Linked DNA regions of Styela clava. The protein of the gene in region 2 purifies or fractionates together with the protein of the main gene of each other region. This does not show direct contact. Links are inferred from orthologs where the notes say so. Each region holds a gene or a part of one and is shown on either strand. Other genes may lie near its edges.

Region 1 (7,780 bases), on a different chromosome or scaffold from region 2:
CAGCACTTTAGCTAACATAACTTGTTCGGAACTCAAACACAGAACTTGATCATAATGGCATGGAACACAGACATCGTGAAGTGTAAGCCTAAAATGCTTATTACTACCGAGCCGAGTTTACAACCTAAAAACGAGAATATCGATCAAAGACCGAAGACTTATCGATCGAAACTGGTGTTTCAATTTATGACTCTATAGTGACACCGCATGTCCCATCACTAATTAATTAATAACTCGCTAATTATACGACATAATTAATCCAAAATAAATAGTCTTCTGGTCCGAGATATGAAGAATGTACATGCAAATTTGGAGCAGGTTCAACCTCGCCTTCGTTAGATATCGTGTTCATCTAACATACAAACAAGCAAACAGACAGACAAATACTTATCAACATACTTACCGATCTTAAAATCGATAAGTACGGTAATAAAGTTGCCAAACTAAGGGATCGGATTATACACACATAACTCTGATCGCGCTCAAATTAAATGACATTATGCTTACTTCAAATTCCATTAGCTACAATTCAAACCATGCTCTCACGAACAAAGCATGTGATTTGTAGGATTGACTTATATGCGAATTTTTATAAATTCACCAGTTTGGGGCCATTTTTAGGGGGTCGGCTTATATGCGAGGATATACGGTAAATATATTTAACTTACAGAAGTCCCAAATAAGCTCAATTTAATAAAAATGGTCTATGAACCTAACATGAATTTCTTACTTGATTTGTTACTTCTAATGTTGATGGATTATAAGTTGTGATTCCTTTCGTTCCAACAGAGAACACTCGCTTGTATCTGAAAATAGTAAAAGTTAGAAAATGAAACTGTTACTAGTTCATGAAAATGGGCCCTAATTCAATTGAATCCGATACATATTGGCAATCATACCAGAGACAGCTACCATGTTCATCCCTGTGCAGTGTAACATAATGGCTTAAGCAGTGCAGCTGCAAATAAGTTTTACGAGAATAAAAAAAATATTGCAGAACAATACTGAACGCTTATTGTCACTGTTTCCCGCGCCATAATATGCTCTCAAACCAGTATATTTATAAAGTGGTAATATCTTGGTATCTCAATTTGGGGATATATAGAAAAATAAATTTGATGAAATATAAACCAACATTAATTAACAGGGTACTACGGTAGTGTGTGTACCAGACCCTTCCCACAACTCGATGTGAAGTAGGCCAACAAAATTAGTTATCTCCATATCGGTACACACACTCCTGGAGCACCATTAACAGAAAGTACATTAGTGCATTCTGATATTAGTGTTCTGAATTCTGATATCAATTGTTCAGCAACATAATTGCCGGTATTCCGCAGAGTATCATATACAGGTCAGTGGGAAATACGATACTAACGACAAAACTCTGATTCAGAACTGAGTCATTCAAATTGATGCTTGTGTAAGCTTGTGTAGTCATATTCTTGCACAGAGAAAATATTTAAAAATCAAATTTAAAACTAAAAACAGGGGTTTATGGAGTGGTTCAAAAGTCTAACATCACACATTAAATAATCATATTATTTAACATTATGCCTGACCAAAAATCCTGTTTGAAAATTAAAACTGAAATTGGGGGTGGATTCATTCAGAAGTCTAACATTACGCTTCACAATTCTTATTATGTAACATTTTGTCTGACAAAAATCAGACTTTGCCAACTAATAGCAAAGAGATGAAAAAAAAATTAATTGGGTAGCCTATACAATAATCATATAGAACAGTCATTTATAAAAAGATCATTTGGGCCATTCCAAGCAAAAGTTGAATTCCATCAATTTTTTAAAAAGTGTAGTGAAAGTAATTTTTTTTTATTTTCGATACCAAAAGACATTGGAATTTTATTGGACTACATTGATTTAATCGAACAATTTAAAATTTCACCCAGGTTTTTAATGGTTTATAAAAATTGGCCTGAAATGTAGCAATTTTGGTATAATTGGCATATTTTGTGATGATTCCTGACACAAAGTGTTTGATTGTGTGGTACAGTTATTTCATATGGAATTGACGCACTGGATTTAAGTTAATAAAGTTTGAATGTTTGCAGGGTTGTAGGACATTTCTTCACCCATTTAACGATTTATTACCAGAATTTTAAGAGATGATAGAGGCCGCTATTCCGAAGTGGAAAAATGTCCTGTAGTGTCACATACAATATGCACATTATTGGCCTGGATTTACAGTGTTACATTAGGTGAATTGAGCAACACATAGGGGGGTAGTTCAGCTACTGCACCAGAAAATATTATGGGCTCCTACTGTACCATCGCAAAAATTTACAGCACAACACAACGTACTGTTAGTGCATGGTGGATTTGCCGTCCTGTAGTGTCACGCTATATTTTACTATATTTTTTTTATCAAAATGGCACAGAAATACAATTGTGTCAAGTGTGAAGCAAGACTCTTGAATCACATAGGATAGTTATTTTTGTTCATGATACAACAAATGCATTTTATGCATATGGATCCAATAGAGCAGTGGTTCCCAAGTTGCGGACCATGGGCCGTAATTTAATATGGCCCACCGATCTCAAGTGTGTGAAATAGTTTAGTACTCCAATTGTTATGTCTTCATCACAGTTTAAGCATGTGCATATTCGGAACAATTCAACTATATCAGTATTTCAATTGCTGTATATGTACCGGTAACGGCATTGGGCCCTTCACTCTCCTGGCCTGCGAATATCCTTCCGCTTCTAAATTTGGTCCCCAGTCAATCAACCTTGGAAACCACTCCAACAGAGCAATGGCGTATAGGAAGAAAAGATAGTAGCGAGTCTTGCATAACTACAACTAAAAGTTGAATTTAAAAAAAATTATTATATTTCTTACTTTCCTCTCCATGAGTGTTTCGTAGTGTAGTAGCACGCAATGTCAATGTTGTCAGGAATTAATTGCGACATTTTTAACCAATAACAGATAGTCCAATCCTATCTTGAAAAAATCACTTGGTGTGTTGATAATGTACCACCCAAATAGTCAAGGATATAGCATTTTACCCTATAATATATAAATCCCTAGAAATCTAAAAAATAATGCAATACACCATATATTAAAAAGAGCGTGTTTTTTTAAAGACAATCTGTGTAATATTAAATGTAGGACTGACAAGGTAAATTGTGTTATCTCTATAGTATAATAGGGAATACAGTATTTTCCGGCTGAAATGCCAACCCAGAAAAATTTGCGGTGAAAGCACATTATTGACCTCCTTTTCTGATATTTTTAGTCCAATATTAATAAGATGACCACTGGAAAAAACAAAAAAAGGGGAAACGCCCAATAAGTCTTGACCCCAGAAAATCAGGCCAAAAAATTGGCTTACTAGCTGGAAAATACAATATTTATGTAATATTATGATAATACACCACACAATAATTAAAGTATGACATTTTAAAATTAAACACAGCTGTAACAACGTATATTGAATAAGTACTATACTAACTTGTATTAAAAAGGCACAATTGTTTAAGTATAATATAGTAAAGCATAGGTTGGTGTAAGTGGCCGTCCATATTAGTTCAGTACTGTTAAATTAAAGGAGTTCCTTCTGAACAGACTTAAGTGAAAATTCAAAAATGTCCAAATGTCTTACTTTTTCAAAAACTGCAAAGTCTAAGTTACATAATAAAATTTGTGAAAGTGTTATTCATCTATTTGTACCACTAAATATAACCAACTTGATTCTTGCTACAATACCTTTATTCACTAACTAAAGGGAGAGAGAAAAGAGAGATAGTTATGCCATATATGTGAAGAAAAAAAACAATGTAGAAAAAAATATACAATACTGCTGCCTGATCAAATTCAACGATTTGTGAAAATTTCAATGACTAAACAGAATTTGGTCTCTAAAATTTTAACAAATATCAAAAGCAAATTTGAAATGATGGTAGAAAGCACAGTAAGATAACCAAAAGTGCAATATGCAATTGAAAAATGTTCATATAATATATGCCATAACCCATAAGCAAAATATGTGTTGAAGCTGTAATAGGGGTTATATCTTACAAATTTCAACACTTGATAGAATGAATCAAAATTTGAGTACTTGAAATGGAAAATAAACTATAAACCAAATTGTACTTATAAATGTATTTACTATAACATTTGTAAGCATAGACACTAATGGCAAGAAGCAAAGAACATAAATATTGCTAGCGCTTCGAATGCTTCTACAGACACATTTCAGAAATAAAAGCACTGAGCATGAACTAAAATAAAAATGTCACAATAATGACAATGTTGTACCGGTACTTGAAAACAACAGCCGAGTCCAGAAAACTGGATAAAATACTCCATAAAAGAATTCATTTCAAGTGATTTTCCATGCCATATAATATGAAACAAGAAATATCCTAATAACCTGGGTGTATGCTTTACGCAAAAAGAAAACTTTTAGCTTCAACTACAGGAAGATTTCCTTATTAACTTCTACTCATGTGACTTAAAAATGAGTGGAATAATAATAAGGCATTTAATCAAATATTAATTATAACGGGAAAGTATGTGCTTTTTATTTCAAAAAAGAAACCAATATCCCAAACTACAGAAAATTTAGCTCATTAATTAACAGGATCAAAACTTCTATTTAAAATCAATAAACTTTAAAAAAAATCACTTTGATAAATATAAAAACAGCATAAATCTCTGTAACTTGGGTATATACTTTAGTCAAGAATGAAATCTGTATTACATTTAAACAACAGAATATTTAAATGGTCAACTTATTCAAAACTCCTACTAATGTCATAAATTGGTCAATTTAGTTGTTTATGACTGTGCAACACTTGATTAAGGCAAGTTTGAAAGATAGAACATGGACAACACAGAATATAATAATATATAATAGGCTATATAATTAAAGGTCAATAATATTCATAAAATATTTTTTTCTAAGATGATCTCACTCTCAGAATAGAACAAAAAAGGTGCAAAATACATAGCAATAACTTATAACACAAATCCCATTAATCTTATTCCTCTAAACATGCCCAGAGCTAAACTAATAGAAACTTGAATAATAAAATATTATGCTATGAAACAAATACCAATATGTCAGAAATATAACTAGAGCATCAGACAAAATTCAAGCATGAGAGAACAGACATCTTACATTAGGGGAATTCCACCTCTGCAATTTCAATGTAAAAGGAAATCCCTCAATAGATAATATGTAGTGGACCAGATAGATAAGACTCCAGTTCTTAGATAGAGTAGCCAAGGAATAATTGAATTCTAAAATATTAGTGCATCAGATGTTGCATATAATCTTCCATCTGCTTTCAGGTTTTGGGTCATGAATTTACTTGAAGCAGTTCTACATAAAAAAGTTTTAGAAAATTCTAACATATAATTTGTTGAAATATATTCACTACGAATTATTCGTACTAGGACTTAGTGTCACAGTTGTTATACCCAGCAAGTACACACACAAAAACTTATAGCAATAATATGAATATAAAATAAACATATGTCAAAAATTTAAGTGAAATTGGAAATTTAAATCAAATGATTTGAAAAAGTAATAGAGATTGTAATCAAAAGATGTGTATTCTTAAAAATAACGAAGTTAAGAAATAACGTTTTACATTTCGAAAGATTGTTCATCACTTTTGGCAGTAGGCTATAGTATTGCACTGAAAATACAAATTTTGTGTCGCCACTTCAAAAATAAAGTTTAATGAAGCTTTGTTTCCTAGAATATTCAGAAAATTTAATTTTATTACTATATTCATCATTATGGTAAGTGGTAACAAAATTTTCATTGAAAATTTCAGTTGAAGCCTTTTGCCAGAACTCTTATTCCACTAAAAATTTGGCCCAACTCTGATCACACAAAACCTCTTCCGCAACCATTTACCGTGATAGGTGCGTACGGCATGTTACTATTTGTAGGGTCAGATTATATGAGAGAATATACAGTAATAAACCTAAATAATTCCCTTTATTATAAAATTAGCGACTACTTATGTATCAGTGGATATCAATCCGATTGTACACGGCCTTGTCCAGTGCAAAAATGCCTCATGGACAACTTGCAAGTAGGTAGGATTTTGATTCCAAGACCTAAGTCTAAATTCCAGCTCAATTCTTAGAGATCTTGGCTCACTTCGGAAAACCTTTTATGAATCAGCTCTGAAATTTCATAAAAAAGGCAATAATTGGTCGAACGAGCTCACGAGATTGCAAAAAGCAACATATAAAATACGAAAACTTCTATATTCAATACTTCCTTCTTAAATATTGCTAAGATAATAAATGTGTATCGGTACATAATATCAGACACAGATAAAATAATAAAGAAAACACAAAAACAACTTTTCAACTATAATAAGGCAAAAAATTAATTTTTTAAGAAAAGTACTACCTTTTTTTACTAGGTGAATTTAGCTAAAATTGAGGTAGGAAGATGTCCATTGAAAATGTTTAGCTAGCAGATGCTTCTTTGATAATATTCAGTCTGATATTAACGAAAAAAAGGCAATGAAGTGTAACCTGATACGGGATCGTCAAAACTATTTTCATGATATGATTATTCTGTCGAGTCACGCTTCACTTATCCCACAGCATCATTAAATTAACTTGTAATTTCTCCATCTTCTTCTTCATGTGTGTAAGCCTCATCAACTGTGTTAACAATTTTCTTTCCACAAGTTTCTGGAAGAAGTAGAGCTAAAACTGCAGAAATTCCACATAAAATTCCATAACATAGAAACGGTGTTGCGGAATTTGAATTCACTGTATATGTGGCAAGGAAAGGGGCCGTCATACTCCCGATTCTGGCTACTGTAGACATGCTACCAAGTCCGACATTTCGAACAACAGTAGGAAAAAGTTCTGGTGTATAAACGTATATTAATGTAAAACATCCTGAAGAACCAACTTTCGCAACCATTGATAAAATCAAACGAAAGTGTGAGTTTGCATCCGTGTTTGGAACTATATACATGATAAACATACTAAGTGAAGTCATGGACATTAATAAGCATAAAGTTCCGCGTCTACCACACCATTTCCGCTCCATAAAGTATAGACAAATTGGAACAGATGGAAGCTGACTAATAGCAGACATACCAAACGCAAGATAAAAGTTTGGACTGAATGATCCTGCTCCAAGTGTGATACAATAAAACACAAAACTTGTCGTGAACCACACAAAACTTAGTATTGCAGTTCGGTAACGCAATACAGGTTGTTTCACCAAGTCTAATATCGAATTTTTCACTTCTAATGGAGTCAAGGAACGATGTTGGGAATCAGAGTACGGCTCATCTATGTCTCCATCCCCAGTTACTAATTTGTAATACGAATGTTGATTTCCATTTCGCTTCGAAAATTTTTGAATTACTGCTTCGGCTTCATCCACCCGTCCTAGAGAGAGCAACCATCTTGGGGACTCAGGTGTAAAAATATAAAATAAATATCCTAGTAATCCAGGCAATGCGGCCACAACACATAGAGTCCTCCATGTAGGTATATAATAGGTAATTATCAAAAACACACACATAAACGAAGTGAAAGATATGTGACCTATAATACCATTCGTAACCCACATTTTTGACGCAGACATTTCTTGAAGCATAATCGTATTTACAACACTTAGTCCACCGATACCAAGACCGCTTAGAGTTCTACACGCTGCCATTTGTTGCCAATTCTGAGTGAATCCTATTAAGAGTGCAGCAATCATTAAAATAGTGTAAACCTTCCAACCAATGCTTCGTCTGCCATACTTGTCAGATAACTGTCC
Region 2 (7,191 bases):
GATTTTAAGTTTCCTTAATGAAGTTGTTTTATCGACGCTTGATTTGTCAATGGACACACAATCTCTACAAACTGTCGACTTGGTTTTGACAAGCATTCTATCTTCGGCAGCAAACACAATTTCAAGTCCTCTGCATTTAGCTGTAGTGGCTGAATACGGGCTTGATTCATGTTTGAAATTGATTTCTAAGTATCACCCAGAAGTGAACGACGAAGTGGATAAAACCACATCCGACGATAGGCTCCCAAAAGTTTTGAACTTGTGGCAGAATCTTTGCCACACCCTAAGTCAAGTTTGTAAAGTCTCCCAGAGTGAGCTTATAGAAGCATGTCTATCAAATGGGTGCATTAATACTATACTTGCATTATCGCAAAATATAGTCGATGAAGCGAAACGTTGCGGCAATGGAAATGACTCTAATGGCCCAATGTATAGTGCTTTTTTCTCTATTGTACAATGGATCTCGTCTTTGATTCCGAAAAGCGATAATGAAGCCAAATTGTTGCTTTTAATTGGATATGCATTGAAAGTTTGTGATACGTTGGAACAGGACGCTAAACTCTCCCCAGAATCTGAAGTTAATCTTAGCTCAGTTTCCGAGAGTTTTCATTCACTTCTTCCCGTGTTAGAGCACTGGAGTACTGACCGTGTTAAGACAGGCATACTCGGAACTTTTGGAATCGGACGTGCTACTTCATTATCAATTGGATTTCGAGTCTCTATTCGTTGCATCTCAGTTCATATTCAACAGATAACAGCACGACTACGGCCCGAAGGAGAGGATACTCTTACCAAAGCTCAAGTAGCCATTGATAGTCTACGGAAAATGCCTCTTGAAAATCGGACGTACACTCAAGAAATTGACAGAATCCATGAACTATTAGACCTAATACAACAGATTAGTGATAAGCCTACATGTGCTGCCCATTTGTCTTTGATGAAAAATATTTTTGCTTTCCATTATCAAAAGGAGGCTGATTGGTTGAATGTTCTATAATTGTAATTTCAAAAATGTTTTTTCATATCCAAAAATGTTGGTATTCATGTATCCTTTTCACAAAGTTAGTTACCGGTATATCTTAGCTGGGGAGCCTGGGAAAATTTATGCCCAACAAGATCTCGACCTATTAGGTTCCTATCAGAAATTTAGACTTTATACACTGCCATTGGGAGTTTAAAGCTAGGAGTCCACACAGTATTCAAAAATGGAACTGCTGAATTAATTTTATTACCAATAAAAAACACTCAGACTCTGCAGACTCGTTTCTAGAATTCTAAATAACTTGTTCATCAACCTTCAGTTTTTTAGGCCTGAACCGTAGCCAGGCGAGGTTTTATTTCAAAGTTCTTTCATAATATCATTATAATTAAACTACCTATTCTGTTTGTATTATCGTAACCACAAATCACAGCCAACTTTTGGGGCCAATTTGGGGTGTAAGGTTGATTATTTCTCCTTGTTTATTTTGCAATATTTGTCTGTAAATTTGTCATTATACTATGCTCTAATTATATGTGTATTTTAAATTTTGAGATCCTATTTCTGTCAGCATAGTTCCAAAAGAATCCCTATTGAACTGTACTGGTACTACAATAATTTGATCTACAGTATATTGTAATTCATTTGTGTATGTCCTTAAAACTTTTAATTTTCATTTGCAGATGGGGATTCCCAAATTTATTATTAGGTCATGGAGCTCATGTCTTAATATTTTCAACTCTTCGATAGAAATTTTGATGGCTAATAGAATAAAATGCCATAGTAGTTAATCATATTACGAGCCTTTTACCAGTATGGAAACACCAACAATCTTTAGTTTCAGATGCATGAACTTGGCTATCTGTACCTTGCCTGGTACGGTCTGAGAAAGTACCTGAGTAGGGTGTGGAAATAGTCGACCAGTTAGTTTGAGCTTCCGGCCCAGTAACCAAGTATATTACCAGTAACTGGCCCACTAGGAAAATTAATTGCCCACTCCTGAGTTAATTGGTTCAGCTGCATGGACTTGAGATTCCTTGGTACAATTTGCACAGTTCAAGCAAGTACCTAAAATAAGCTGATGCCAAAATTACCAAAAATACTGTATTGTTTACCGTATTTCAAACTTCATTAGTTGATCTCCTAACCGAATCTTCTTAATAGATTTCACATTAATAAATCCTATTTTTGCTGAATTTGACATCCAAAATGTCTTTTTGAAATCCGATTTTAAAAAGTGTTCATTGTAGCTTTTCGTACTTCTTTTTATTATTACTTTTGTCAATAAGTATTCTACTTTTTGTTGCTGATGTATTATTCTCAGAGTATTGATGGATGGTGGAGTGAATTTTTGACCAATTCCGATTTTATTATTTGTTATATATGAGCCATGAATGTCCATAGAACTAAGGGATGCTTTGATAAGGATCTTTGCCCCAAAACCCAAGCGCTTTGTAAACACAATTCAAACATGCTGTCAATTTCCTTTTCAACCCAAATTTTGTATTGCACAAAGGAATCCAATTTTTTGAAAATGAACCAACCTTTATATGGTAACTACTTGCAGGGGCCTATCCAAAAATTGAAAATTTGATAAGGGGGGGGGGGTTCTAAAATTTCTAATTGCTAAGTTAGAGCCATAACAGCTAGCAAGTCTGGCCTGAAAACGTAGTTTTTTAGGGGTTTTGAGGGTCTAAAAAGCGTTTCAAGCTACGAAAAATTAATGTGGGAGGGGTTGGTCCCGATCTTTGACCCCTCCCTGGCTCCTAGCGTATCTGTGAATGCTTGCTCATTTCTTTATTCAGGGTGAAGACGTTGTACAGTTGAGCCTAACTGTAGTTGTGAATTAATGAGTTCAGTGAATTGTACCTGCCCTCCAAAAATTTACTACCACCGATTTCCCTATTAGTGTTAACAGATATCTTTCATCACAGGAATCGATATTTTTATTATAAATCCTTCTGTTATTATCCATCTCATTGTGTTTAGTTATTTGGGTACTTTTTTACATTTCAAAAAGAGGGGCGCCCTGGGTCATTTTCCACATCAGGTGATATCACATTGCTTATTATTTTGTATTGTTACATAGAAATGGTCTGTTCTTATTATTTGTTTATTTTATTGACAATCTGCATGCATGCTGTTCATTTTATTGCTTAAATATTCTGTATGATTTTGGTGATGATCACAGCATTTAGGGGACATGATAGGTGCTTGTTCGTCTTTTAAAATACTGGTATACTATTATCTTTTGACTTTCTCTTTTTATTTGTGCTCAATGTTAAATTTATTATCAGCTCAAAAGTGAATTCTCTCAGCAGTAACAAACCAGTTATATAAAAGTAATGCTCTACCGGCTTGCATCTCTTAATGTCGAAAATTTGAAATTCATTGGTTCATAAGTTGCTGAAAAAAACATTTTAATTTAGCTAAACAATTCATATTAGTGTTATGGTCCCTGTGTCATGGTCTTACTCTTGCAAAATTTATCATTTCTTGTTCGTAACTTCGCTTAAAAATTGATCTTCTTCATTTTTGAGAGAGTATGGTATGTGCTTCTCATTTCCTCAACCATTATTATTTTTGCATAATGTTGATAGCAAATAATAAATAGTCCAAATATTGCCAGTATTAATGAATAAATGGCTTCTTAACTATATGCTATAGTCTAACTTAGGGTGTGAAACCTTTAGTGCATGAGGGCCAGATGCAAATAACTGGATGAAACTGCGGGCAGCACATTAATTTAACATAGGCTTTCTAGTAGTTGCATACGCATAAATTTTGATTATTGATTTTGTGACATGTGCTGTCCACTTAGGCTAGCTGTTAAGGCATTGCAACCCCATGGGCAGATTGAGCTAAATTAAACACTCGTTTCGTGGGCCGCACAATTTTTCATTGAGGGCCGCCGCTTGCACACCCCTCGTCTCTAACTGGCTTAATTAGCTGCATTAAAACATGTTTTCTTTTTTTTTGTCACCTGTTATTTTGGTAATGAAGACCGTGCTTATTGGGTATTTATGATTTTTTGGAAGCAAATATTATATTTTTGTTTGTGCTTTTTATCTATGCTTGTTTCAACACTGCAATATTGAAATTGTAAAATGAATATTATTAATTTTATTGTAAAGTTATATATTATTTATGTTGTTTTATTAATGTGATCTTGTCTTTTTAATTTAGAAAATAATCAAAATGACTGCCATGCAGTATAAGTTAGAAGGTAATCGTATGTTTGCACAAAAAAAATATGAAGAAGCGATAAAATGCTACACGAAGGCAATAAATAAGACTTCTAATAATGCTGTTTTCTTCACAAATCGGGCTCTGTGCAACATAAAGCTACAAAAATGGGAAGCCGTCGTTGACGACTGCAAAACTGCCCTTGATTATGACCCCCAATCCGTCAAGGGTCACTTCTTTCTTGGACATGCTACTGCAGAGCTTGAAAATTTTGATGAATCTATCTCAGAGTTACAGAAAGCACATACACTCGCAAAACAACAAAAATTAAATTTTGGTGATGATATTGCAGCGATGCTACGAAACGCGAAGAAAAAACGCTGGGATAAATTAGAAAAGGAACGTATTTCACAGGAAATTGAACTACAAACTTATCTCACTAATTTAATGGTTGAAGACGAAAAACGTGAGATAACCAAATTGGACGAAAACGACTCCACAAGCGATACAGACCGAAAAAATGTAGAAAAAAAATTCGAGGAACGTCGAACTGAACTAAATAACTTATTTGCACAAGTAGATGATCGTAGGAAAACACGTGAAGTTCCAGATTTCCTATGCGGAAAAATTAGTTTCGAAATTATGAAGGATCCTGTTATTACGCCGAGTGGAATAACTTACGATCGCAAAGATCTCGAAGAACATCTGCAAAGGGTCGGACATTTTGATCCCGTTACCAGACAAAAACTAACTGCTAGTGAATTGATTCCTAATCTGGCTATACACGAAGTGATCGAGAAATTTATTGGAGAGAATGGTTGGGCTGAAGATTACTAAGATGTGATTTTAATTTAAACGCTTTCTTGTGAAATCATATAAGAGGGTTGGAACTTTTTCTCTAAACCAGGGGTGTGTGGCCCGCGGCCCACAAGGAGAAATTATACGGCCCGCTGAGAAGTGCCAATTTTGAATGATGTTCGGCCCGCAGAACAAGTTTTTTAATTAAGTTTAAAATGGTACGCTCAAGTTATTTCTATCCATTTGCGTTGCAAAGCCTGGACCCAAATCCTATACCTGAGCTTGTGCAATGCGAGCAACGCATGTCATAAGATTGATAACCAAAATTTTTGGGCCCTCAAATACTAGAAAGCCTATGTTAAATAAAGATGCGACTCATGGTTTCACCAGTTATTTGTATCTGGCCCTTCTGTTTCAAAGGTTGCCTACATCTGCTCTAAACAAAGCCCTGGACAAGCAGGTTACTGATACGTAAGGGTATGCTATGATTTTGAAAAGACAGATTTGACAATGTCGGCGTGATGCGGTGGACAGGGGGTTTTAAACCTGGTATCTTCAATCTTTGACTGGTCCAATGTGCCTACCATTGCATTGCTTGACCATGCAGCTCGAACACGAATCTGATGTGCCAACCATCATATGCGAGATGGGCATTTTTTTAGGGATTTCCAGAAAGTCTTCCTAGCCTGTTTGCTGAGCACTTCGTTGTTGTGGTTGGGTTTAGAGAACCTCTTTATGATAGCCTAACTTCACCTTTCATCCAAAAGAGTGTATTATGATGTCACTTTCACTTCTTTTGCTCCTCTCTTTATCAAAACTCTAAATAGGCTTGTGATCTTAGCACTTCAATACTTAAATTTTTTTCAAGTGTATTTTTGTACATATAGATTTTTTTACACAGTATTCTTTCTTTTTGTGTGAAACATTCATTTTTTTGTTTGGGTGACATAATTTTGTTCTTTTATCTTCATCTAGGACGGGTTCCCTAGTTTTTGTCAGGACGGCCCCAAAAACAACTTTCAAGTGTCCAGTGCGACCCCAGGTCAATATATATAAACTTCTTTCACTGGACTTTTGAGTTTGGTCATGTGATGGTATTAAGTAAAAAAATAAGGTAAAACCAAACAGTGATGTCACAATAAGCACTTTATATTTTCTATAGCACAAGCAGAGAGCCATGCTTATGGGCCTGTTTACAGTAAGCCATGGTACAAACTGCTAAATTTAACATGGTTTGTCAAATCTTAGTCGACTGTACATCCATCCTCTACCATACCTAAGCGACTCCATGACCTGTTTGCGACCTTGCCTACTTATCACTCCGACCCACTTTGGGGTCGTGACCCCTGGTTTGGGAATCCCTGATCTAGGACCTAAGTTTTTTCATTTCTCGCCCCTTTGCCTCCGAGTATGGGCGAATTACCTACCGGTTGCTTGGAGCAAATAGAAAAAATGTAACATGAAGTTAAGAAGTTGCTTGGTGTTGCTTTCTGGAGAATCATTTTTATGTAACAGTATATCATTTTTATAAATTTGTTGTGGGCTTCGTAAATAATAGTCAATTTCTTCACAAACTCCATAACATAAAAGGTTGGAGAACCCCCGCTCTAGATCAATGCTTCATCCATCCTGTATTTCAATAAACGGAGCACTGGTTGCTCGTGACATATTTTTTTTATTTCAAACTCTCTTTTTTTTGCCACACGGTTCACTATATTTATATCATTTTTTATTGCCTTGTATTTGTTAAGCTGTTTTATTATTTTGGTAGTTGCTAAAAAGCAGTGGTTCCCAAACCTTGGCCTGCCAGCAGTTTGACATGGCCCACCGAATGTAAGTAAAATAGTTCACTACACTATGTTTTTTTCTTTTTGCGCTTCAGATACCGCCCCTTGCGGGCGCTCACCTGGCCCACGAATATCCTTCCGCTTCTGATTTTGGCCTCCTGTCAATCAACTTTGGAAATCACTGCTATAAAGGGACATAAGCCCAGTTTATGAGATAAGTGGACCAGAGGGTAAGCCACCAAGTCTCAGGTGGGACCTGCTCCTCATAACACGTATGGAACCTAGAATCTACAAACCAAATTAACACCATAAATACCACTGGAATGATGAACAGGGGGACCATGAGTGCTGAAAGCCATAAAAAGGTTGGGAAACACTGCTCTACAGTAATTGCCTTCCAAATTCGTAGTAGCCTGCAACATTACCTTTAGTGGATTTCAC
Region 3 (7,300 bases), on a different chromosome or scaffold from region 2:
TCTCTGCTTTTTTCTACCACAACCTTTCTTAGAATCTCGCAAAACAACGGGAACGAAAAAATGTTTACAACAATGCCTGCATATCTGTCTGAGCGATTGAATAAATTACAATAGTTTCGTCATTGTTAACTCGTTGCTGATTTGTCATTGTTAAGGAAATAAACAAAGAAATTGATTCTGTGAAAACATCCTTTGTACTGAAAATCATTCAATTTCAGATAATATGAAACACAAGTTTATCATTATTTTTTACAATTAGGACACCAAAGTCTAAAGTGCTTAGGTCCTGTACTGTACTGCCCATCTCCATTAGGTCACGAAATCTTATGTCATGTCCTTGCTGAGCAACATCCTAAAAATTTTGAGTGTAAAAATTCAATGAAGCTGAGAATCTAATGTCATTAAATTTGACACTGCCTTCAAATATTTATCTTAAAACTCACAACACCTAAAGATGGATTAACATGGTAGGAAGATACTCTTTGTACAGTTTCCCCACACACTTGAGACAAATTTAACCATATGTTAGAAATGAATTTTCTAATATCAAACAAGTGAACATAAATGAGGAACATGCTTTCCACTTTAATCATAATGCATTTCATAAAATATCGATGGTCCATGCATCCTTGTATATGGCAAGTGATTGGATTTGGGAACATAAATTATGGATTTGGGAACATAAATTAAAACAGCAATGATTGAATGTTTATATGGAGACCATGTAATTATATAATCCAAAATAATAATAGTATAGAGAGACCCATTTTAAACAGGCATGAAAACATAACTTTTACATGTTTAGAATTAATCATTCAGTCATTGGATAATAATAAGCATGCTTCAGCATCACAGTCATTTTCAAGAAATGAATTTTTAGAAAATTTTACATCATAGCCCGATGGTATAAGATCTACCATTTGGGTTGTGTATTTGACTTGCTTGTGGAGAAGTGACACACCATTCATACCAAACCTTTTTTCCATTGGAACAACGCCAAAAATCAGTCTGTAATGTACAACCTTCGGTAAGAGGGATTGGATTCATCAAGGGAACGAAAATTGGAAACCAACTGAACATTCCCGGTGAATGTGTTTTCGGTTCGATACTGATTTCAACATCTTTGTACAATGCGCATCTGAAATAACCACCAAATCCATGCAGCATAGTGTCAAAAGGAATTGTGCAAGAAAATTGTTGATATCTTGTGTTGTGACTATTTGTTGGCATTGTCGGAGTTGATTTGATTTGATTGTTAGCTTTAGTTGGATCAATGTGATTGTGTTGACTATCTTGAATCTGATTAACTTCAGTTTTCCCATTCGTTTCCATGTCCTCTTTATCCTTTACATCTTTTTTGCTGAACTTCTTGTCCCAAACTTCTGCGGAAACGTCGGCATGGAACTCTGGTTTAGGATTTTGACTATCCAAATCCCAGTTTGGATGATTGAATGTGAACAACGGAACTGGTTCAGTAAGTTCATGATAATTATGAATACGAACCACATACAAAGTTTCAAAAGCAGCTTCGGGTGTCTTATTTTTATCCAGACCCATCACACCTTTTATCTCATTGTAAAGTTTATGAGATGAGATAGGAGATATGTAAGATGTGTATGACTGCGGGATACTGACTGCATCTGGTTTTAGGAAGCGATTTGCCCCGTCTAAGCACTCCGGTGACAATTCATTGTCACCCAATGATCCTAGCAACTCTGAAACAACAATATCAGCTAGCTCAGGAGCCTTCCAAAACCTCATATCAGATGAAACTACAGTGACATCATAGTCTTTCCACTCTGTCGTGCACAGATGTTGCAAAAGTACAGCAGCATTTCTGTTTTTTTCTACTGCATAAAGACGAACTTTTCTTTGAGCTCTTTTAGCACCTCTGAGTGACATTCTAACGAGAGGGCCGCGACCCGCACCAAGCACCATGATAACAGCTGTTTGCTGTTCTTTTGCGGAATCAGGAATTTGGTCAAGCAAGCAACGATAAACTGCTTCCTCATACTTTTTATATTTGATAGGATCTCTTTCAAAGATTTCATAGGTTGACGATTCCAAATTATCCATGAGAGGCTGGAGTGGTGCTTGCAAATGATCTTCATAACCTTTTGAAAATTTTTCATATTCTCCTAGATTTTGAGCACCTTGGAATAAATGATCCAAGTATTGATGATACACTAGGATTCCTTCTGCATTATTCAAGTTAGGACCAGACAATACAATTTGACAATTCAACTTCATGAGATTTTTAACAAATTGCTGATGAGCACGGGACAAAACAGGAAATCCTTTTTGATTCATCAGAAAAACAGAAGTTGGAATATAAACCACACGAATAGGTTCACCTTGCCATCTTTCCAACTGACTCGGTAAGTCTGCAGTTAATTCCAATGCTAATCCGATTCTACTGTGATGGCTGCATAAGGTTCGAAATTTATTCCACCAGTGCCATGTATCCTCCTCACAATTTCTGGAGTGTAAAGGGACTTTAACCCATATGTGGACATTATGATGACCTTCATATAAAAAGGTGTTTATCATTCTGGCAATATTTGAACAATTTTTGCTCTTGATTTCAACAATAATCGCAGGTAAGCTCAAAAAAGCAACAAAATGAAGCTCTTGTTTCACAGCTTCTTCCGCACAAATACGCTTCTCTGTTACAACAGATGTCAAATCAGGAAAATAAGAAAGTTTGCCAACGACAAGGGAAGCCCATTCTTGTGAATTGAATAAAAATGATGTGTCTGTAACACCACCAAGTTTATTACATAGATTCGCTGTTTCAAATGGTGTGCAGCCTTGTCTGACAACATTCGCACATATAAAGTCATAGCCATTTCTACTAGAATTCTCAATAGATTCTTCAAGATCTTCAGTAAATTCAATATCTAGTCCGCAAGATACACGGTTTCTTGAGGCCATCTTAGGTTATAGTAAGCTATAATTTTAAGTAGTTATATTATTGATTTTGGTCCTAAAATTTAAATAGTAAAGCACACTTTTACCAAATCTCTAAAAACTTGTTTTTTCTTTAATGCCAACGACTACCAAACACATATATGGTCACACAGGATTAAAAATGATGAAACATGACTACCAGTATGTTTTGTTCAGTTTTCAACGGCATAAAAGGATGATTTACATAAGGTTAAGGAGGACTCCAGAGTAGATACGATCAAAATTATTAAAATATTTTTTTGTACCGTTTCAATTTGAGGCATGATACTGACATATAAACAATTATCCGCAACAATTATACACTTTGAAAAAATAATCTAATTCGCTGATTGAAAAAAATTTTACCGAAGCATTTGAGTTTTTAGCTGAAAAACATAATTTTGGTCACCAGACGTCCAAGTCATGATTGATTTAAATTATTACCGAGAGAATCTTGGCGTGATGTAACTGTTTTAGAGCCAAAAGGGAGTGCTTGTTATATTGAACCAAATGTTGGGACATCTTGGAATCGAAGAACTGTGCCCTAATGATGACTGGATGGTATAAAAGTAAAGTCGAATCATGTGAAATTTCAGATATTTAAATACTGATTGAATCGAAAGACCAGAAAAGGCAGCAAGAACAATAGCAGAATAGACTATGTGTGTGTCATAAGATAAATTGTTATAATGTTTTCTTATTCCTGTATTCTGTTTAAAATGAAGTCTGAAGGAAGGCTACGATGACATTTATGCCAAAATAATTCGCACACTTTCCACACACAGACACACATGTAGGCTACGGTAGCTAACTTGTTTCTAATTCTCATATTTAATATATCAGTAGAAATTTGAAGTCAGGAGTTCATTAATTATAAACTAACGTGGAATCATACTACCATAGCATCCATAAATGCGTATTACATTGTTTGTCTAATAAAAAAAAAGAAAAGAATGCGGATCGAGCAGGGCGGGAACTAATCCTTATGGATGTTTGGAATTATACTACAGTACCATAGTCAAAAGGTTTTGAACAATAATTTACAAGCAAGTTGCCAAGATTAAACCCTCACACAGATCGAGACTATTACATGCTTCCAGTTAGCAAATCAACATGAAGTAAATACAAACATAAACTCCACCCCACCTGCTATCAAAGAAAATATCCCCGCATGCACCAGCAAAGTGCACAATCCACATGCTACTAGTGCGGTGGTGTATGGAGTGGAAATCTAGAGTCCGAACGTAATTCGATTTAAGTACACCTGCATATATGAAATTTACGTATATGCCTTTATGTGGTGATTACCACCGTAATATAAGTAAATTCAAGTTTGAATGGAATAGCTAAATCTTAACACATAATGTCTTATTTTCCTTATTATTTTCCAATTCTTACAAAATTATTAACATGGTGTGGCAAATTATTTTTTTTTAATTTGTTTGTATATTATTCTTTTTATTAGGTAATATCTTTTATGTTTCAATTTTTATTTTAAACCTTAGGATTTACATCCTGAAGGATCCTATTTTAAACCTTACTTAAGTTTTTTTTGCTCTCCTGATTCTGTAATCAGTTTTATTTACTTAGTTTTTATCAACAATTTTATTGTCTATTGTGCTGATCATGGAATCGAAATAAACTATTCCACGTAATAGTCTACGACTACGGTATGTGTAAATGTTAGTTCTTCATGCGTTTATATTCTCATTTTTGAGGAAATTGCAGTTGATTTTATTCAGCGATCCCGTCGGGCCGTGGTTCTCATAGTGCGTCGTTTCAATTTTGCTAGGGCGTCCCAAAACTTTTTTCTTTTGCGGAATCGTACCTGTTTTGCGGTGCGTAAAAAAGTTTGAAAACGTCTAAATATCGCTGTAGAAATGTACGAGCGTAAAAATGATACCGAACAAGAAGTATGATGAAAGCTACTTGGACTTTGGATCGTTCAAGTTTCGAGTAAAAAAGCGCTGTGGTTTTTGTTGCAACTGGGGATGCGATGTACTTACTACATGCCGTTCAGGCTTATTAGGTAACCGGTTTCACTGGCTGAAATCTTGCTACAACAACATATTACGGCTTTTGTTCGCCATTTTGTGAACGGAATCGATATAAAAAGAAATTTTAATCACGAAAATGTTATGAGTTTTTGGATTTCCCCGGATAAAGATTATCCTTCCTTGCGGATAAAAAAAAGGCATTGCGCACTCTCATCCCCCGCGACTTCATATTCATGTGAAGCAGGCTTTGCTACCATGGCTGTAATAAAGGCAAAATATCGTTCTCGAGAAAACGTTGAAAGGAAAATGCGTATTCACCCCAAGACTCAATGACAATTGTGAAAGGAAGCAAGAACACCCATCACATTAAATGCAATTTCACCGACTTTCGGTAAATTTTGTTTGCTTGTTTAAATAAAGCTCATTACAAAAAGGTCTTTAATTGTATTAAGACGTTTTCACGGGGAGCCGCAACTCGAGCATATTTTTCGGAAGGCGTCACAACACAAAGAAGTTTGAGAACCACTGCGGTTGTAGGCAATCCGTAACTGACGTCCCAAACATAGGCCACATGAAACACTCCACGACAACAGGGGTCTCAGCAATCCTCCCCCACTCAAGATTTGAATCCGCACACATTAAGCACGAGGCATTTTACTCCCATATTTTTTCATTTAAGTTTCTGTGAACTATGAAAACTAACGCAAATTTCTCAAAAACCAGACTGTGTAGTTTACAGACTGTGTCAAAATAATACTGCCGTATCAAAGATACTGATACCTTAAACTTTAATAAGTAAAGCTCAATTAAGTTGATAAAATACAAATTAATGTATAGACTCTCAAGTTTTATTACTTGTTTCAAACTACCAAAGTTCCACAGATAAATTACAATAACTAAATTACATTTACTGGTCACATAAAAATGAACCAGACCTAATAACTACATATGATGAATAATATGCACAATGCAACTAATGTAACAATGATTCTAGGGCTAACTACCAAGCCAGTAAAATGCCAACAATCCACACAAATTCTCATAATTAGCACTACTGGGTATAAACTTGAAACCAGACGATACTTGACAATGAGTGATAATAAGGTCTGTTTTAGATCAGTCGAGAGAAGTTTGTTCATCGAATATAGATAAGCTGACCTGTGCGAAGTGGAAACACTTCTCCGGAATGCAGTTTTAGATTGAAAGAAATATAAGCATTGCACTGCAAGAAAAAAATAAATAAGCAAACTATATTGCGCTACCCCGTCTATATATGCAGCTCAGAAAAGACAGAAGCAGTAGAGATGAGACCTTGCGATGTAATATGCATTGCTTCAAACGAAAATTATGAATTTCATCTTGAATTTAGAACATACACAGTTGCATTGGAATTGGCAAAACCTAAATCTTTGAAAGTTGGGCAGACACAGTTGATGAATTAAGACATCAAAGAAAAACTTGTGCAAAATAATAAAGTTGACTTTCTGTGTATACTATATACATGTACAGTACATTAATTGTAAGACATAAATCAAAAATTTGACAGAGTTTGTACAACGAAAGTGCTTCGATGATATAAAATAAATTGTCAATCCTACATAAATATAGATGATAGGATAAAGTAATCTTGATTAAATAAAAAAAACCAGACAAACTTAAACTATAATCACAATTAGATTTTCAGCCTTACAAAGTGCAATAAACGTTTGTCCGATAAATCCCCAAAAAAGTGTATTCTATATCCATAATATTACATGCAATAACTGTCCATTTGTGATACATTATAGCAAATCTAAGGAAATTTATTGCAGAAACAAACTTTATTTCATTAATATTATCCCAATATAGCAAATTAAGAACATGGTGAAGAAAACAATAAAACCAAATGGAAAATAAAAAAAAAATTATTAGTACCTTGTAATCTAAAACAATAAAATAAACTAGAATAACATATTGAAGAAATTAAAGGTATGAAAGAAAGGTTTGGATAGACATATTCACATAGTAAGACGAGGAACGATTTTGTTTTCACCTTAATCATGTTTTGCAATATTTCTCCGAACGAAAAAAGTTGGAAATCTGTTTAAAATCAGACATATTTCACCTAAAGTGTTGACAGCATAAATGTCTTGAACTGGCACTTCCTTTTACAAGGTATATATGCTTCACTGGTCCTGACAGTATAAAAATAGCCTAAAACTACATGGAATTATTACAATTACATAACAGTATACATAGAAAAAAACTTGTCACTAAAGTACGAAAAATAGTTTATTCAGTTCAGAATTTACTCTCTGAAAGCATGATAATTTTATTAATCAAACTCGAACCATTAAGCATCACTAAAAAATTGA
Region 4 (5,423 bases), on a different chromosome or scaffold from region 2:
TGTCCCACCGTCCCGACAAGTCAGCCAAATTTTTGTTATTTTGTTTGTTTCGTTGTTTCCCGCTAACATTGTCAGCGAACGTATCACATGTAAAATCAATTTTAGACCGAGACAGACATTTAGACAGCGAATATTTGCACATGAACTCTCGATGACAATATTGTCAATGAAGACAGCTGGGATGGCTTCAAATGTAGGCCAATGTAGTAAAATCAGGAACAGTAAAGTTACAGCTACATGATTACAGCTAAGTGGTCGTGGCTTTGGAGGCGTCCCGCTTTGAAGTCAAAAAAATTTGGTAACCCTGAGTATAGCTATGGATGTTTCCTCGAGCATCGATTTACTTGTTTATTTTCTTAACAGCGACCAATCGGCAATTACGTAACAATTGCAATTAGCGCGGTCGCTCAGACAGATATTCAAGTTTTCAGTTGTGTTTCCACATATAGTTCGTCATGTCTTTCGAGAACCTTTAGTTTAGTTGCATTAATCTTGAATTTATATCACAGACGCTGTGACAGACTAGCTCAAAATTAGCTCTTGATTTAATGTATTGAATAAAATGATGATTTTGTACATGTGAGGCAGTTGGTAAGCGCCATCTCTCTCATAATAAGCGTTGAAATATTGGTTTCTCCGAGCATCGACACACTTTGATACTTTCGTAGCATTGGCTAGCATCAGTATGTCAATGGTGGCGTTAACAATTTACCAAGAGAGTGATACCTGGTGAACGTTGAATCCAAATAATGATTTGGCATGTTTATGGAGCAGTCTATCAATTTATTTGTATAGGTTTTTCAGTTCACACTGCTGTTAACAACAGCCCAAGTGTCACCAACCTCTGAACGTATCGTTTGCCATATTCAAGTGTCTTCTTTCGATTGTTCGAATAAAGTGTATTTTCTTTAAGGTGATGAAATAAATACTGATTATAACACGAGGGAGCATCCATTAATGGAGATTCTTGAGAAAACATTTTTCGGCATGAATTAATTTCCTTCCATTAAAAATTTCGTAATCGATTGGTGAAATGTCATAGACCAGAAAATAAAGATTGATGCCGTTAAAGATTGATTTTGTCGCCAGAAGGCTATTACTTTTACTTTTTTCAAAAAAATTTGTGGACTTGTGACGTGTCCATATATTTGAGCTTAGCTCTCTTGTTTTACATGGGCAATAGCAAAATTACGCAGACGAGTTCTCAGTACGGGTTGTTATAAAATGACTATGTCCCTACTAAAATGGCTACGTCCCTACAAAAATAGGACATAGCCATTTTATAACTAAAGCTGAATTTGAGTTCTGCAATTTTTATAACAAAATTTACACAGTTCTTGGCACATTTATTACCAATTTTCGATTCAACGCTTTGTTTTATTCACTTACCCAAGAAGACTTTTCAATCAGCGTAATAGGGCATATTATATGCAAGTCTTTGGGAGATATCTCTTATTTTACCCCCAAATTGTAAACTCAGTTACAGTGGCATATAACCCTTTTTACGTGCAATTCCCATCAATAGATTTATTTAGATTGAACTGCAGATATGCAGTAAAATGTTAGATGTAGACTACATCATGTAGTCAACACGCAGATACGCCACAATTTACTTGTGTTTTTGGTATGACATTGCTAATTAGTAATTACCTTGTGTGAACTTAATGTTCAGTTGTGCCACATTTACAGTTAATATAACCTGCTAGCCATGAGTTCGATTGAAACAGGATACGATCTGAGTGCCGATTAATTCTCTCCGAAAGATAAACATATTTAAAGAACAATTAAATTAATAACATAGCATTGCATTTGATTGGCAGTACATGTCTTGCTGCCCTAAATATGAAACTTGCCGCCAAATGTGGTAGTCCAATATTTCATTTCAATTGCGACTTGTGCTGTATAAACAATTGGATTAATACTGTACGAATTGGGTGGTAATACCTCACTCTCAGACGATTGCGCGATCGTTTAGTTATCTTACAGTACAATAATAATTCAATTTATTGTTAAGTAATATTCAGTGTAATAAGTACAGATATGTTGGGAACATTGTATAAGCAAATATATTGAACCTCAACAAAAAAAAATGAGATATCACTTTATTTGGACAAAGATCTAGCGATTATTGGATGAACGGCTTCCATTGAGCCATGAATGCACGTATTATTCAATTTGGCCCTGCGAGCAACAAACTGTTGCCGACCCTTCCAGCGTACGTGGAAAGAGCTAAAAAACGTGTCTGAATGTTTTGGCTTTTAGCGATGCCGTGAACTCATATTGTGCTTCCGTGTATTGTTGGTGTTTTATAAAATTTCGTTCGTGATTGTAACTTCATTTTTCACATTCAACCAGTTTTTAAACAATTTTCTATTATCTGCCGTGAAATTCATGGCGACGTATTCAGAATTTGATTCTGAAAAATATTTTACATTTGGGGTTGATTGTGAACTACCATTCTTACGATCAGCAAAAGGTTAACTTTTCTTTCTGATCTCTGTCTTCTTGATTTTTCTTTGAAATACCAAAAATAAATGAACTGCAGCTCACAAATTTGCAGTAAATAGAGACATACAATACGTAAAAGAAAGTGAACGGCATATAAAGGTAAAATATTTTTATTGATATATACTCAGCATTTAAGAAACAATGAAACATTTAAAATAAATACCATATGTAGATATTCAATCATATTTTAGTTATGTTTTACACTCACGGCACATCATTTGGGAACCGCTGGCCTAAACAAAACGTTTTGTAAACATAATTATTAAATAGTGTCAGCAGTAGAATAAGTCGTTAAACTTTAGCATCTCGTAACTATTGAATTTGTCTTAGACATGGGTCGCCTCTGTTTTGGAGCAAGCACACTTATAATCCGAATCTGAAACCATAAGCGTATCGTGACGTAGACAGAAAAAAAATGACTCGGCAGTTTGTTAATTTTCGTACCTTGCTTATGGAATTACTTTACTGCAACTAGATCAGGCAGACGTTTGTGAGCAATTACTTTTATGAGAAAGCCAGTTACAGATAATAACCACAAAAATAATTTAAAAAAATAAAATAAACTTGGTTACCGGTACCGTACGTACCGGTACCGATACTGGGTCGGAGGCTTAAAACTTTAATAAAAAAAAGGTTATTTACAACAGCTTGGCTACCGGTAACATTTATATAATAAAAAGCTCAATATAGATAACGTACGGTAACAATGAATTGGTGCTCTGACATATAGGTAAAAATGGACAGAGACTTGGATGCTTGTTTCATTGGTAATATTTCATGTATTTATAGTCTAGTTAGGTTCGCGGACAATTATATGTTTGAATTGTTTCAACGCACATTGAAAAAGTCTGCTAGGCCTATGCTGATTATGAAATGGAGACGAGTTAATATAGGTACCGGTACTACAGAACTAGGCAGTGGTTTTTACTATGTTCCAGCAGTAACTTTGAGTCCCCCATGCTGCAAAGTGTAGCAGTAGGCTTACTTACTAGGTTACGGTACCTCATAGGCTATCATGCTTTAAGATGAGCCACTTGACTGCTCCATTTTAAACATATTACTCCTTTTTAACAGACATTTATTATTACTCATTTTTCAATGAACCCTTTGTTCCATTCACTTCCTCAAGAAGACTTTTCAACCAGATAGGGCATTTATCGTGCAAGTCCTTGGGAGATATCTATTATTTTACACCAAAATTGTAAATTCAGTGAAATATGACCCTTTTTACCCAAATTCCCATCGAGAGATTTATCTAGATTGAAACAATGGCCTGCAGACATGCAGTAAAATATTAGATATAGACTACATCATGTAGTCAATAAGCCACAATTTACCTGTGTTTTTGGTACGACATTGCTAATTAGTAATTGCCCTGTGTAATTTATTTGTGCCACATTTCAGTTAATATACCTTGCTAGCTATGAGTTCGATTGGAACGGGATACGATCTGAGTGCTGATCAATTCTCTCCAGATGGCAGGATTTTTCAAGTTGAATATGCACAGAAGGCTGTGGAAAACAGCAGCACTGCAATAGCCATCAAGTGTAAAGATGGCGTGGTTATGGCAGTTGAAAAACTAATTATATCTAAATTGCACGAAGACGATTCAAACCTAAGAATCTTCAACATCGATAAGCACGTGGGAATGGCGATTGCTGGTCTACTTGCAGATGCAAGACAAATAGTAGAAATTGCTAGAGATGAAGCGGCTTACTATCGTTCAGAGTTTGGTGGCCCAATCCCTCTCAAATACCTTACTCGCAGAGTCGCAATGTACATGCATCTTTACACATTATATGGAGCTTATCGACCATTTGGAGCAAGTGTTCTAATGTCATCATTCAATGAGGACGAACCAGAACTACATATGATAGATCCTTCTGGTGTGTCTTGGGGTTACAATGGCTGTGCTATTGGAAAAGCAAAACAAGCAGCGAAAACAGAGATAGAGAAAATTGATTTTAAAAATATAACCTGCAAGGAGGCGTTGAAAGAGGCAGCAAAAATTATATATATTGTCCATGATGAAGTGAAAGATAAAGATTTCGATCTTCAACTGAGCTGGGTTGGTATGGACACAGAGAAAAAACATTCTATGGTACCCTCCGGGTTAAAAAAAGATGCTGAAGATTTCGCTAAACAGTCAATGGAAGACAGCGATTCTGACGAAGATTGAATGTATTTAATTTAATAGCAAACGTTGACAGTGATACACTGGCTAATGTAACAAACAGGAACCACTGTTCCTGCTTATATACCAATGGCCTATACCAGATATGCTGTTTTGAGATAAAATTCAGACAGCAACATTGTTCAATGTGTTAAAACTCTTGGGTTAACGTTTTTCATCATTCGTCTGATTAAAATAATTTTTCCTGAAGTTGTGCTCAATCTTTTTTTTCTGCCATGCCGCTTTATTCTTTTGAGATTGTTTGGTCGGTAGTCCATACCTGGAAAAAGAAATAAAAACTCAGTCAGAAATACACAATGCCATTTAACTTATGAAACTATCGCAACTTGATTCATTTTAAATTTGTTATTTTGTGTCTGTTAAGTGACAAATTTCAGTTCTTGTTATTTGCGATTCAGACCATAGCAGGAAAAACAATAATTTTCCAAATCTCTGAAAACCCTAATAATCTTATGCCTCCATGCGAAGTTGCCGCTTGGAACTGCAGAAATAGTGATTATATCAATAATTATCTGGAATTTGAGATTCAAAATATGACAATGCTGGTCTGCACATCACTATCATAATACCTGGAGTAGTACGATTCAAAGCTGTTTTGTTTAGTCATTGAGCTGTACAGCCTAATAGTTTCATCAACGCAGAGGTTGGTTCTTGGAGCAAATCAAATCTCAAATCAGTCAATCACTAGCTTTTGATATCTTACACAAAACATTGCATCATA

The links.
Region 1: the proteins of E3 ubiquitin-protein ligase CHIP-like (region 2) and dnaJ homolog subfamily C member 13-like purify together in Homo sapiens (affinity purification with mass spectrometry; 3 studies listed by BioGRID and IntAct, with this or other methods). This does not show direct contact. The link is inferred for Styela clava from reciprocal best matches to the Homo sapiens genes STUB1 and DNAJC13.
Region 3: the proteins of E3 ubiquitin-protein ligase CHIP-like (region 2) and protein arginine N-methyltransferase 5-like purify together in Homo sapiens (affinity purification with western blotting; 3 studies listed by BioGRID and IntAct, with this or other methods). This does not show direct contact. The link is inferred for Styela clava from reciprocal best matches to the Homo sapiens genes STUB1 and PRMT5.
Region 4: the proteins of E3 ubiquitin-protein ligase CHIP-like (region 2) and proteasome subunit alpha type-3-like purify together in Homo sapiens (affinity purification with western blotting; 3 studies listed by BioGRID, with this or other methods). This does not show direct contact. The link is inferred for Styela clava from reciprocal best matches to the Homo sapiens genes STUB1 and PSMA3.

What each region holds. Positions count from the first base shown.
Region 1 is NC_135261.1:3,151,809-3,159,588, reverse strand, and holds the start of dnaJ homolog subfamily C member 13-like, read right to left. Parts: upstream 3,002-7,780; 5' UTR 2,931-3,001; coding exon 2,860-2,930; intron 807-2,859; coding exon 731-806; intron 1-730. Other genes in the region: solute carrier family 22 member 15-like, read right to left, coding at 6,608-7,780.
Region 2 is NC_135250.1:2,576,094-2,583,284, forward strand, and holds the start of E3 ubiquitin-protein ligase CHIP-like, read left to right. Parts: upstream 1-4,171; 5' UTR 4,172-4,177; coding exon 4,178-5,002; 3' UTR 5,003-7,191. Other genes in the region: ectopic P granules protein 5 homolog, read left to right, coding at 1-997. UniProt on the Homo sapiens protein: E3 ubiquitin-protein ligase which targets misfolded chaperone substrates towards proteasomal degradation.
Region 3 is NC_135260.1:10,097,543-10,104,842, forward strand, and holds protein arginine N-methyltransferase 5-like, read right to left. Parts: upstream 3,011-7,300; 5' UTR 2,935-3,010; coding exon 892-2,934; 3' UTR 526-891; downstream 1-525. UniProt on the Homo sapiens protein: Arginine methyltransferase that can both catalyze the formation of omega-N monomethylarginine (MMA) and symmetrical dimethylarginine (sDMA), with a preference for the formation of MMA.
Region 4 is NC_135256.1:8,850,401-8,855,823, reverse strand, and holds proteasome subunit alpha type-3-like, read left to right. Parts: upstream 1-3,884; 5' UTR 3,885-3,931; coding exon 3,932-4,687; 3' UTR 4,688-4,891; downstream 4,892-5,423. UniProt on the Homo sapiens protein: Component of the 20S core proteasome complex involved in the proteolytic degradation of most intracellular proteins. This complex plays numerous essential roles within the cell by associating with different regulatory particles.